Alligator mississippiensis: one gene and its partners. The protein of the gene in region 3 interacts with the protein of the main gene of each other region in a pairwise test. Links are inferred from orthologs where the notes say so. Each region holds a gene or a part of one and is shown on either strand. Other genes may lie near its edges. The genes, in order: OSTF1, DMRT3 and REL.

What was found.
Region 1: the proteins of REL (region 3) and OSTF1 interact in binary tests that used the Homo sapiens proteins (3 or more experiments, as listed by UniProt). The two-hybrid records come from large-scale screens. The link is inferred for Alligator mississippiensis from reciprocal best matches to the Homo sapiens genes REL and OSTF1.
Region 2: the proteins of REL (region 3) and DMRT3 interact in binary tests that used the Homo sapiens proteins (3 or more experiments, as listed by UniProt). The two-hybrid records come from large-scale screens. The link is inferred for Alligator mississippiensis from reciprocal best matches to the Homo sapiens genes REL and DMRT3.

The regions. Positions count from the first base shown.
Region 1 is NC_081826.1:197,735,767-197,739,511, reverse strand, and holds the start of OSTF1 (osteoclast-stimulating factor 1), read right to left. Parts: upstream 2,370-3,745; 5' UTR 2,245-2,369; coding exon 2,211-2,244; intron 1-2,210.
Region 2 is NC_081826.1:192,449,789-192,453,533, reverse strand, and holds the start of DMRT3 (doublesex- and mab-3-related transcription factor 3), read left to right. Parts: upstream 1-854; 5' UTR 855-1,419; coding exon 1,420-1,825; intron 1,826-3,745. UniProt on the Homo sapiens protein: Probable transcription factor that plays a role in configuring the spinal circuits controlling stride in vertebrates.
Region 3 is NC_081824.1:211,734,911-211,738,655, forward strand, and holds the start of REL (proto-oncogene c-Rel), read left to right. Parts: upstream 1-1,374; 5' UTR 1,375-1,494; coding exon 1,495-1,501; intron 1,502-3,745. UniProt on the Homo sapiens protein: Proto-oncogene that may play a role in differentiation and lymphopoiesis.

The DNA of each region.
Region 1 (3,745 bases), on a different chromosome or scaffold from region 3:
ACTCTACTGATGGAGCACTCTATTTTTAAAGTCTCTCTATCTAGCTATTGCTTTCAATTCTGTTAATTTTGTTGCACTAAATAAATGTTGAACTAATCCTCCATAGATGCAAGGGAAACTAGGGTCATGTACGGTGTTCAAAGGGGCAGGGAAGCCTGAGAGGTGCTGGGGAAGCTTCGGTGAGTGTGTGCATTTAAGCAACAAAACGTAAATAAAAAAAGATGTGGGAGGCATGGGGCACTTCTGGCTGGAGAGCTACAAGGGGGCATGGAGGAAAGAATGAAAGTAGAAAACCTGGAAATTTGTGAATAAAGCTTGCTTATACATAAAAATACTGCTATTGTTTGATATCAGAGGGCAAATCCAAGTATGTTTTGCATGCCCTATTTGTGCATCTCTATGCTTTAGCAGAGAGCACATTAAAAGACATGCTGCAAATGAATATTCATAAAATTAGTCCTTGCTTAGGTGTTTATGCTCAATTTTTGTAGCAACTGCAGGACTACCTCCTGATCCATCTTCCCACTGAGGTGAATGGGAGAAGTTTCCATTAGAATCATAGAAAATGAGGGTTGGAAGGGACCTCGGGCAGTCACCTAATCCAACCCCCTGCTCAAAGCAGAACCATCCCCATTCTCCATCTCCTAACACAAGAACAAGCGCATGTTGGACAAAAAAAAGGACAGAAAAGAATTTTAAAAGATCAAAAGAAATGCTCTGAAAAAGCAGAGAAGAGAGAACTCAGTGCAACTGGACCAGCAACTTTCCTGGCCTCAAAAAGAAGCCGTATAACACACTCAACAACCTGGTAGTTACTAGGAAAGACAGAAGCCTTATGCTTCATAGAATTATAGAGAAGTCGGGACTCCTAGAGATCATTGAGTCCAGGGGTGGGCAAAATACAGTGCGGGAGCATCCAGCTTGCCAGCCCATTCTATCTGGCCCGTGGGCCCCCTAGAAAATTTAATATACGTTTGCTCCTGGCTGCTTGTCAAAGATATCAAGGTCCAGGGGCAGTAGGACCCAGGGGAAGCCAGCAGTGGGATGCAGCAGCAAGACCCACCTAGCTCTACCCCCCCAACCAGAAGCCCCTGTCTAGCAGAGGCTTCTGGCCTGGGACTGTGGGGCTGTTCCTGCTTCCTTGTGCCGGAGAGAGAAATGGGGCCCTCAACATCTTGCCAAAACTGGGTAAGTAGCCCTCCACCTGAAATAAGGTGCCCGCCCCTGATCTAGCCCAACCCCCTGCCTGAGGCAGGATCATCCCTATCCAAACCTGTACAGTTCAACATCTAACTTCTGCATGACTTTCAACCTTGCCACAACACAGACCTAACCCCTTCACCTGCCACATGTAAAGCAGGGGAACCATTCACGCCACCACTGTTCCTTCAGTGTGCCTGCCCCACCTCCCTCCTACAGTAGCCTGTGGCCGGGTTAGGGCGGGGGGCGAGTGGCCAGACACGAAGCCAGCAACAGGGGGAGTGTTGGTGCCCCCTTGCTATGGCACTGGGTGCCTCATCGGTACGCCACTGTGTGCACAGCATGATTTTTTATTTTTTTATATAAATATATATATTTTGTTTGCAGCTTAGTGGGAACGCTGGCGCAACCTTCCTGCTTCTATAAAAATGCTTCCAATATATTCTCCTGGGTAACATTTTGTGTGGCGTGAGAGGATAGGTTAGGGAGCAGGCCTAGCTCTATCTGTGGGAGGGCAGCATTACGTAGGCATCAGAGTCCTAGACTCTGACTCCCGCAGCCTGGGCTGCATTGGTCCGTACTAGGCAGCTGCTGCCTCCATTTTCCCCACCTGTAAAATGGGGAGAAGGACATTGGCTGCTGCCTTCCAGGAAGCAGTAAGTCAAAGCCACTAGGCAGCCCCTCACTGGGCCAGGCCTCAGCATAGGGTGGTTTCTTGCACCTTCACCTCCAGCCTCTGAAGCGGGTGCAGGAGGGCTAGGTAGCAGCTCTTTTCTACTCCTGCCAGCTCCTGCCTTCTGCCCCTGCGTTTGCCACAGCCCCACCCCCACCCGGCTCTCGTTTCTGCAGGGCAAGGGTTAGTGGCTGCCTTAGCAGCGGCTCCCCGGTTTAACCCCAGTGTCATTCAGGTGGAGGCAGAGACTGGGGGGGTCAACCCGGAGCGGTCACGGCCGCCGGGATCCCCCTCCCGCGGGTGCCCACGTGTCATTGCGGCTCTGCCCTACCCCTACCTGGCTTGGCCGGTTTCGGCGGCGGCTTGGACATGGCTGCGACTCTGGCCGCCCCACCCGGCGGTGCTGCTAGCGCTGCGCGAAGGGGCGCGGGGCGCTGGGCTCCCTTTGGGCGGCAGCGACGAGGAAGTGCGAGGCTCGGCGACCCCGCGCGCGGGCTCCACCTGCAGGCGGCCGTGGGGCGCTGCAAGCGGGGACCGGGAAGCCAGGGAGGGAAGGCAGCAGCCAATCCCCGCCGGGGCGGAGGACGAACGTAGCCAATGGCTACAGGGTGGGCGGGGTCACGGAGGCCTCGCCCCCTTGCTCCTCTTCTCCCCCCTCCCTTCACCAGTGGGCGGGACCAGGTCTTACACGTCAGGGAGTGGGGGTGGGGCTGGGGCTCCGGCCGCAGTAGGGGGAGGGCAGTGTGGCGTAGTGTCTTAGTGGGGGTGGGATTCAATTGTGTGCGTCACAATGGAAATGGGGCGGGGGTGGAGCTCTGCAGCGCTGCGTTACAATCGGGGCGGTGGGTTCCTGACGCAGCGCGGGAGGGTGATTCCGTGCAAGGCTGCAGGCGGGCCCCGGGGACTGTGTGGGGCATCGCGGGGGAGGCCGCCTGGCGCCTGGTGGAGCTGCCCCGCGTTGAGCGGTGGGTGCTTGCCCACGCTGGGCGTGAGGGGCTGGCGGGTGGGCAGCAGGAGGGGAGGGGGGAGCTGAGCCTGTGTGCAGCGCTGTCCAGATCCGGGACCCTGGAACCTGATGGAAAGCTGCCGGCCTCCGCGGGAGGGTATCAGCCAGGGCGGCGTTTCCCAACCCGTGGGGCGCGACCTTCTTGGTGGTTAAGATCAAGTGTACTCGCTGCACTGGTGCGGTACCGGAGCTGAAATGGATTTAAATAAAGGGCATTGTGTGGCGGAGGGGGCACCCTTGTCCAAATGCACTGTGGACAGGACACCTTGTAATTGGCTTCCAACTGGCCAGTTTCCAGCAGGACGACCTCGGCTATGCACCTACTTTATGGAATTGGGGCACCTCTCCCTAGCTTTCTAATGCATGCAAGCGAGGCTTGGGGGGGCATCTGAACCCCAAGCCTCTGGGCTTGGGTCTGCACATAGGTCGCCTACCAATGGATTTGGATTTGGATTTGGAAGTATCTGAAGCCCTAGGCTGTGAAGTCGGGTGGAGGATAAATGCTGGTTGCTGTGCCACATATGGTGTTTAAACTATGAGTTTTGCTCAGTCAAAAGGAGTCAGAACTGATCTGGCCTAGAACATTAAAAATCTTCCACAAAAAAATTAAAAAGTGGGTTGCAAGAATATATGAAATGGTCGCAAGCCGACTTTAAAAATGGGTTCTCCTTTAAAGGAGAAAAACCTAGGAAACTCTGGGTTTTCCCCTTGGAGGCTGGCAGAGTTCCAGCGTGCAAGGGGCTGCTTGGGGCTTCCCACAACCTACAAACCACCCCGCCTCCTGCCCCACATGAGGGGGCGGCAGGTCCAGAGTGAGGGGCACTGGGTCAGGACTGGACATTGATTTTTACAAATGGGTCCTGGTA
Region 2 (3,745 bases), on a different chromosome or scaffold from region 3:
TTAAAATTGCCTGTAGGAAACGTGGTCTATGTCTGTGTAATATTCTCGGGGTGAGACTAGCATCAACCAACGTTAGAGACACAAACAATACGGGGGAAACATTGTGTTGCGATTTGGGCATTCTGCAGAAAATAAATGGACTGCGTGCCCTATTCCCGATCTGTTTCAGTTTCCTCGTCATGTAAAAAGCAACAGATGAGTTAGACAAGAAGCCCCTCTCCTTTGATAGCGGCAAGATTTGTGTGTAAAATACGAATCGACCAGCTGGGAAAGCGAAGGAGGGCTTTGAAAAGGAACACGGGACCGAGTGAAATCTCAGGTCGCGTGTATCCGTCTCGCACTTTTACTCCTTCTGGGCAAAAAGACTTTTCGAAGTGAATGAGCGATCTCTACGTTTGAAAGTTGCTAAATATGTCACCGCTGCCATCAAACAGCCGCGGCATAAAACTAACTTCTTTTTAACAAAATGTTGGTTGAGGAACAACAAAGGCAAACTTTCAAACGCGGCCACCAGCCCGCGGCCCCTGGCACGGAGTGAATGTGGGAGCAGAAGGGCGATCGCCACGCTCCGAAAGTCAGCTCGGGGGGTTGTCCGGGTTTAACAACCGCCTGAGATGAATTTGCTTCATCCCAAGCTGCATTCACGGCGGGGTTTGGGGGGTTATTTTTTCTTCGGGGAAGGTTGCTGGGAAGCGCCTTTGGTTGCCTGCCCGGGAGCTGAGCCGCGCGGGCTGGGGGAGCTGGAAAGCAGAGTTACGGACTGCGGCTCGGGGTGGGCCGCCGGGGAGGGGGCTGCCCGGGGGGGCATGGCAGGAGCCATCTTGGCGAGAAACAGCCGGGCGGGGAGGCAAGACCTCGGGCCCGCCGGCTCCGGCCATTTGTTTCCGCCAGGAAATGCGATCGCGGCCGGTTGGGAGCCGGTTTGCGGCGGGCGCAGGGGATGGGACCGGCGCCTCTCGCCCGGCTCCTTCTCCCCTGGTACCCGTCCTGTGAAACTTAGCGCGGCGGGTCCCACTGGTGCAGAGCAGCCGGGGCCCGTGCAGCCCGCTCAGGCACCTCATTGCTGCAGGGGGGGGGGGGACACCTCCCCGCCCTCCTTGCAAGCGAGGGGTGCTGGGGAACCCCCCCGAGAAGCCGCAAGCGAGGGGTCGGCTGCCCCCAGCCCGGCCCAGCCCTGGAGGCAGCAGCAGCAAGCCCCAAGTGGGGGAGCCCCCCCTCCCCAGCGCGCACACACTCCTCCCGCCCGCTTCCCAGTGGCTGCAGCGGCTGCCCAGGAGCCGGCGCGCCTCCCCCCGCTCCCTCCCGCGGCCCGCCCCCAGGCCGGGCGCAGGTGGGAGGCAGGTGCGGGGCTGGGGCTCGGGCCGGCGAGCGGCCGCACGGAGGCAGAGGCTGCGGCCGCAGCAGCGCGCGGCTCGGGGCATGAACGGCTACGGCTCGCCCTACCTGTACATGGGCGGCCCCGTGTCGCAGCCGCCGCGGGCGCCCCTGCAGCGCACGCCCAAGTGCGCGCGGTGCCGCAACCACGGCGTGCTCAGCTGGCTCAAGGGCCACAAGCGCTACTGCCGCTTCAAGGACTGCACCTGCGAGAAGTGCATCCTCATCATCGAGCGGCAGCGGGTCATGGCGGCGCAGGTGGCGCTGCGGCGGCAGCAGGCCAACGAGAGCCTCGAGAGCCTCATCCCCGACTCCCTGCGAGCCCTGCCCGGCGCCCCGCCGCCGCCGCCGCCCGCCAGCCCGCAGCGCCCCCCGGCCGAGCTGGCCGCCGCCGCCGCCCTGCGCTGGGCGCCCGACCCGCCCGCCGGCCTTCAGCCGCCGCCCAAAGCAGGTGAGGCTCCCGCGGCCGGGCGGGGTTGGGTTGGAGAGACCGGGCAAACTTTCTCAGCGCAGGGAGCCTCCTCCCGCCTTGGAGGGCTGGGAGCGCCGGCGAGACAAAGCCTTTGGTCCGGATGCGGTGGGTCCTGCTCGGAGCAGGGTGTCGGGCTGGATGCCCTCCCTTCCAGCCCTCATTGGCCCTCATTCCCGAGGCATGGGGGGCTCAGGCTGAGTGGGATCCCTCCCTCCCCCCAAAAAGGGAAAGGACTCTCCTTCCCTGGAGATGAGCTGCCTAGGGGACGCTGGCCTGACCCAGAGCAGGGCTGCCAGGCTGATCAGCTGGATGGAGGGGCTTCCCTGTGAGGAGCCCAGGCCTGGGTGGTTGAGAAAAGAGAGGCTGGAGAGGAGATTTACCTACTTGTACAGGGAGGGTTTGGAGAGGGATGATCCTGCCTTGCATGAGGTGACCTCCCAGCCCTGCAAAGTCCACGGGCAGGAGAAAGCTGGTGGGGATTGATCACTGCCTCTCTCAGCGGGCAAGAACCAGGGGCAGAAGATGAAAGGAGAAGGTAGGAAGTTGAGAAGAAACAAAAGGAAGCTCCTCTTCATGCAGTGCCTCAAAGCCTGCGGGACTCCTTGCCCCCAGATGCGGGGGAAGCTGATGGTTTAGGCAGATTCAGAAAGGGACTGGACACCTTCTTGGAGGAAAGGGGCAGCAGGGGAGTGAGGGGCACAGCCTCTGGATCAGCCCCCCACGCTGGGGGCTGCAAGCGAGAGAGGAGTGGGGAAGACCCTCCTCAGACCCACTCCTCACTTGTTTTCAGCTCCACTCTCTGCCCCTGCAAGGCACTGGGCAAGAGGGACCCATGGGCTGTCCCAGGAGATGGCAGCTTGTATGGCAAGGCGAGGGCAAAGCCCTTATGCCCAGCCCGATTGAATTTGTTCCAGGCCAGATCCGTGGCTTGCTCCCTCCTCACTCGCCCCAGTGGGGACTGGCAGCGGAGATGAGTGGGAAGGGGCAGCTCCCAGCCAGCAGGCACTGTGCGGCCCCCGGTGGGACACAATCAGATCCCCCTTGGAGCCTGCTTTTCCTGCCCGGCTCCCCCACCCCCGCAGACCCTGCCCTGTTTGTGCGCTCTCCTGGGGCAATGTGAGAGTGGGGCAGCAGCTCCTGCCATTTGTTTACTTCATTCTTCAGCCCCTCTTCCCTCCCCTCTGAATAACTTTACAGCTAACACTTTTTTTAGAGATTTATTTTTGTTTTGGCTCAGCAAAATCATTCTGGAAATCCTCCTCCCTGAGGGACAGAAGCTCCCTGCACGCAGAGGGGCTGCCAGGCTGCTCCTCATGGCCCCAGCGAAAGCCTGAGGCAGAGAAAGTGTGCAGAGAGCAGGGACATGGCCCCTGAGCCAGAGGAAGGCGCAGGGGGGTTTCCAGCCCTCTTCATCCCCACACATGGCAGCTGTGGGGGCAGCGCTGTGCATCCCAGCGGCCCTCATAGTCTTGGGGGGGGCTGCTGCCCGTGGGGAGGAAACCCCCGATGGACAAGCTGAGGCTTTCTCAGGCTCAGCCCCGCGCCATCCCGGCCCGTGGGAGTGAAGCAGGGGGCTTGGCTGGAGCCTGGGGCTGGTGCATTGGGCTCTGCACCAAACTCCGAGGGCTCCCGCCCGCCTTGGAGCCATGTGCACTGGTCCCTGGGGGCAGCCCGCTTGTCCCTGATAGTCAGGAGTTACACTTTGACTCTTGGGGGTGGGTCTTGGAGGGGTTTAACACTAAGTTAAACTGGTTCATTGGTTAACAAGTCTACTCCGAGACCTCCTCTCCAGATTATGATTTTCAAATCTTACAGGAGGGTTTTCATCTCTTATGGGGGTGGGGGCTCAGCTGCCCCAAGCTCCCCCATAATTTGGACTCTGGTCTGGGGGAAGGTAGG
Region 3 (3,745 bases):
AGATGCCAGCAGTGCTGTATCCTGTACCACAGGCTGGGCCTGACATAAGCTAGCAATAGTTGATGTTCAGAAATGTGTAACTTTTGACATTAGACTTATGATAACTCATTTAAATTCTGGGCTGGTCACTAGGTCTTGGCTAGCAGGCCAATAGGTTTTGGCTAGTGACTAGTATAGTGTTTCCCAAGCTTGATACCTGGGACACACTTTTTTTCTGGATTAAAATTGGCAGCACACTTCACTCACCAGTCTGTGGGCCAGATCCAGTCTGTGGGTCCAATCCTGTATGTGGTGCTGATGAAGCCAGAGCCCCACCCAACCCATTTTTAGCACACACTTTTGCTGCTTCCACAGTACATCCTTTGAGTACCACTGGTCTAGGAAACGATGTGATATTTCCCCTCTTTTGAATGTTAAATTGGTACAAAGTGGAACGAAAAGTCAAATCTTTTTGAATCCTGCCTTTTGTTTCTAGGGTGTTGTAAGTCAGCTTTGTCCAACTGACCATGAATGTGCTGTTAGTCTTGCATTTAGCTAACTGGTGGAAAGGATGGACGGAGAACAAAACTGTGCAACTCCTCAGCCAATAACTCCCACAGCTGCATGTTAAACTGCAGTGTGTGTGCGTGTGTAATTCATCCTGTGGGTGTGAGATGAATGTGAAACTGCAGTTCACTGTATGTGCATGTGTAGTTCATCCTCTATGTGTGTGTGTGTGTGTGTGTGTGTGATGCATGTTAAACTGCAGCTTGTGTACGTGCAGTTCATCTGGCATGTGTGATGCATGTTAAACTGCAGTTCACTGTGTGTGCAATGCATGTTAAACTTCAGGCCGTGTGTGTGCATGTGTGCAGTTCATCCTGTGTGTGTACGATGCATGTTAAACTACAGTTGTGATCCATGTTAAACTGCAGTGTGTGTGTGTTCATCCTGTGTGTACGATGCATGTTAAACTGCAGTGTGTGTGTGTGCAGTTCATCCTGTGTGTATAATGCATATTAAACTGCAGTTCGGTGTGTGTGCATGTGTGTCAGGCAGAGACAGAGAAATTCTCCCTTCCCTTCAAATTCCGCGCTAGTCCCTGGCTTAGGTCCTTCAGGCGGGTGAAGACAGTGGCCTTCTCTGCCCTTGTGCAGGTTGGCAGGTAAGTGAAACCCTCCAGTCTCCACCTGTTCAGACGAGCCAGAGCCTCCCCCACAGAGCAGGAGGTGTCCCGGGCCGGGGGCGGCCGACTGGCCGCGCGTGTCTCGGGCGGAGAGACGCCGCCGCGCCTCGCCAGGGGCAGGGCGGGGGCGGGGACGAGCAGAGCGCGGCGGCCAGCCCTGGCGCGCGTCACTGGCGGGGAAATTCCCGCGCGGGGCGGGGCGGGGCCAAGCTGCGGGGGCGGGACGGCCGGGCTGGGCCGGACCGGGCCGGCAGCTGCACAGGGACCCGCGGCCGAGCCCGAGTCCCCGGGCAGCAGCAAGCAGCGGGCCGCGTGCGAGGGCTAGCGCCATGGCGGGTGAGTGCGGCCGGGCACCGCGGGGCAGTGGGCACGGGGGGGTAATGGAGGCGCGTGCGCGTAGAGTGGCCGTGTGTGTGTAGTAGACATGGGTGTGTGTAGCGGACATGGAAAGCTCTGTGTGTATGTATGTGCGTACCAAATGGAGCCCAGGTGAGCGGGTCCCTTCCTGTAACAGGGCAGGACGGATCTGTCCCTTAGAGATACCGACATTGTGTCGGTGGCTCTCTCATCTCTGGCTGTGTAACACAGGCTTTCCTGAGCTGATGCTCACTTCACTTGGAGCAGTGGTTCCCGATCGGGTTTTCATGCGCATCCCCCCCACGAGAATGTGGAGAAGGACTTCCTCCACCCTCACTTTGATGGTGCTTTTCAGCTCAAAGCTCCTGACTTAGCTCTGCAGGAAAAAGCATGAAATAAGTTCAAACAATCCATTTATAATCTGCATCTTCGTTAAAGGCAGTGTAATTTCCATTGCATACATGGTGGCTAAATATAGGCACTTGTTTTAGGCAACTTGGTTACCTGTTATGATGCCCAAATCCTTCTCTGCTGTTGTGGCATGGATTGGTATCTTTTCCTGCTGTGGTTGGTATATTTGCCTTCTAAGGCATGCTCCCATATATCAACCAAACCTTCACTTTTTAAATGAAAAATTGCTGTTCTGCTGGACAGCCCCTGGCATGTCTTGCCTATTTGTAGTCAGAGGCTCAGGACTATAACTGTGCATTTAAGCAGTGGTTCTCAACCTCTTTTGTATCAGGACCCATTTGTAAACACCAGTGGCCAGTCCTGACCCACTGCCCCTCACTCCTGACCCACTGTCCCCAGCCCCGCAGTGTGTGTGTAGGGTACACCTAGACTAGTAAATCTGCTAAGCTATGAGAAGCTGCCATTGTGCACGCATTTTATAAACTGACTTGTGGTTTGGATGCTTTAATATTTAGGTGTCCAAGCTGAGACACTTTTTTAAAGGGAACTGATTTTCAGGGGCTAGGTTCTAAGGCTTCCTATAAGTTACGTTAAATTGATAACTGATTGGTAGCCCCAAATCACTAGTCACTTCTGAAAATCTGTTGGCCTGCTTGTTTTTATTTTTCTGCTACTTAAAGTACTATTGTTAAAATCTACAATCATGATTTTAGGAACAGTAGTAAACACTTGTCCAAATATTTACTTTATTTGGTTTTAACAAAATAGATAGTGAACAAACATTAGAAAATGTGAATTTAGAGCTAAGACTGATCACTTTCAGAATGGCTCATTTAAACTTAAAAAACAAGCGGAAATTAAATTAAAAGAGCCAAATGTACATATAAGTTTCAGATCTGGGGTGATTACCAGTTGTCTAAGACCTGTCTGATGTTCAGCTGATGAATGCTGTTCACATTAGAAGAGGATATTGAGAAAGAAGTGAGAGAGGGAGAGCTGCCACAACAACAATGTAATAAACATAAATGGAGCAGGCAAACAGGAATCAGCAGACATAATGCAATTAATTTTTATCTAAGAAAAGCTTTTGATCTTGCATCTTTCATAGAAATTAAAAAAAAAAATCCATTTTAGAGGTGGTTGCATTAATTAAGAGTAGTTGCTGTCCTCAAGAAAAATGTTGTCTAACCTGTATCTGCTTTGTGATCTGCGTGTTAAGTCAGCCATTGCTAGTGCATGTGCTTGATCTGCTTTTCTAAATGTTGGCTTATAGTCAGATAAATAAAATTATTGAGCCTGTGCCCTTTCAAATTTGATATTGTATTTTAAAGCGGGTAAGCTGAAGCAGGAGATATCTATCTCTCTGTTATCAGTGCTGAATAGATTTTCAACATATTGGCAACTAACTGGCAAAGGAATTTTTCAGCAGAGGAAGCTCTTAACTTCCTAGTATTTACTGACTTTTTGTTACTATTCTGTAATGTCACATGATAACAAAGAGGAAGTGTGCAAAGCAGTTTTGCTTAGAGTGCTACGCAGGTCCTGAAGACTTAGGTAGGGGATTACTCTTTTCTAAATTAAGAGGATATTTGCACTTATTTCAGGTTGTAGGCAAATATTTTGTAATAGACATGTTACCTCTGAATTGTCTGCCTAGGCCCCTACCCTTCAGAGAGCTGCAAATACTTAGAATATAATATCTGACTTTTCTGAACGGCCTCTCATTTTTTTGGGGTGCTCAGCTTGGAAGAGTTGGCTCAGAGGCTCTGAACAGATCACTATCATGTGAGTTGGACAGCCAGAATTTTCTCA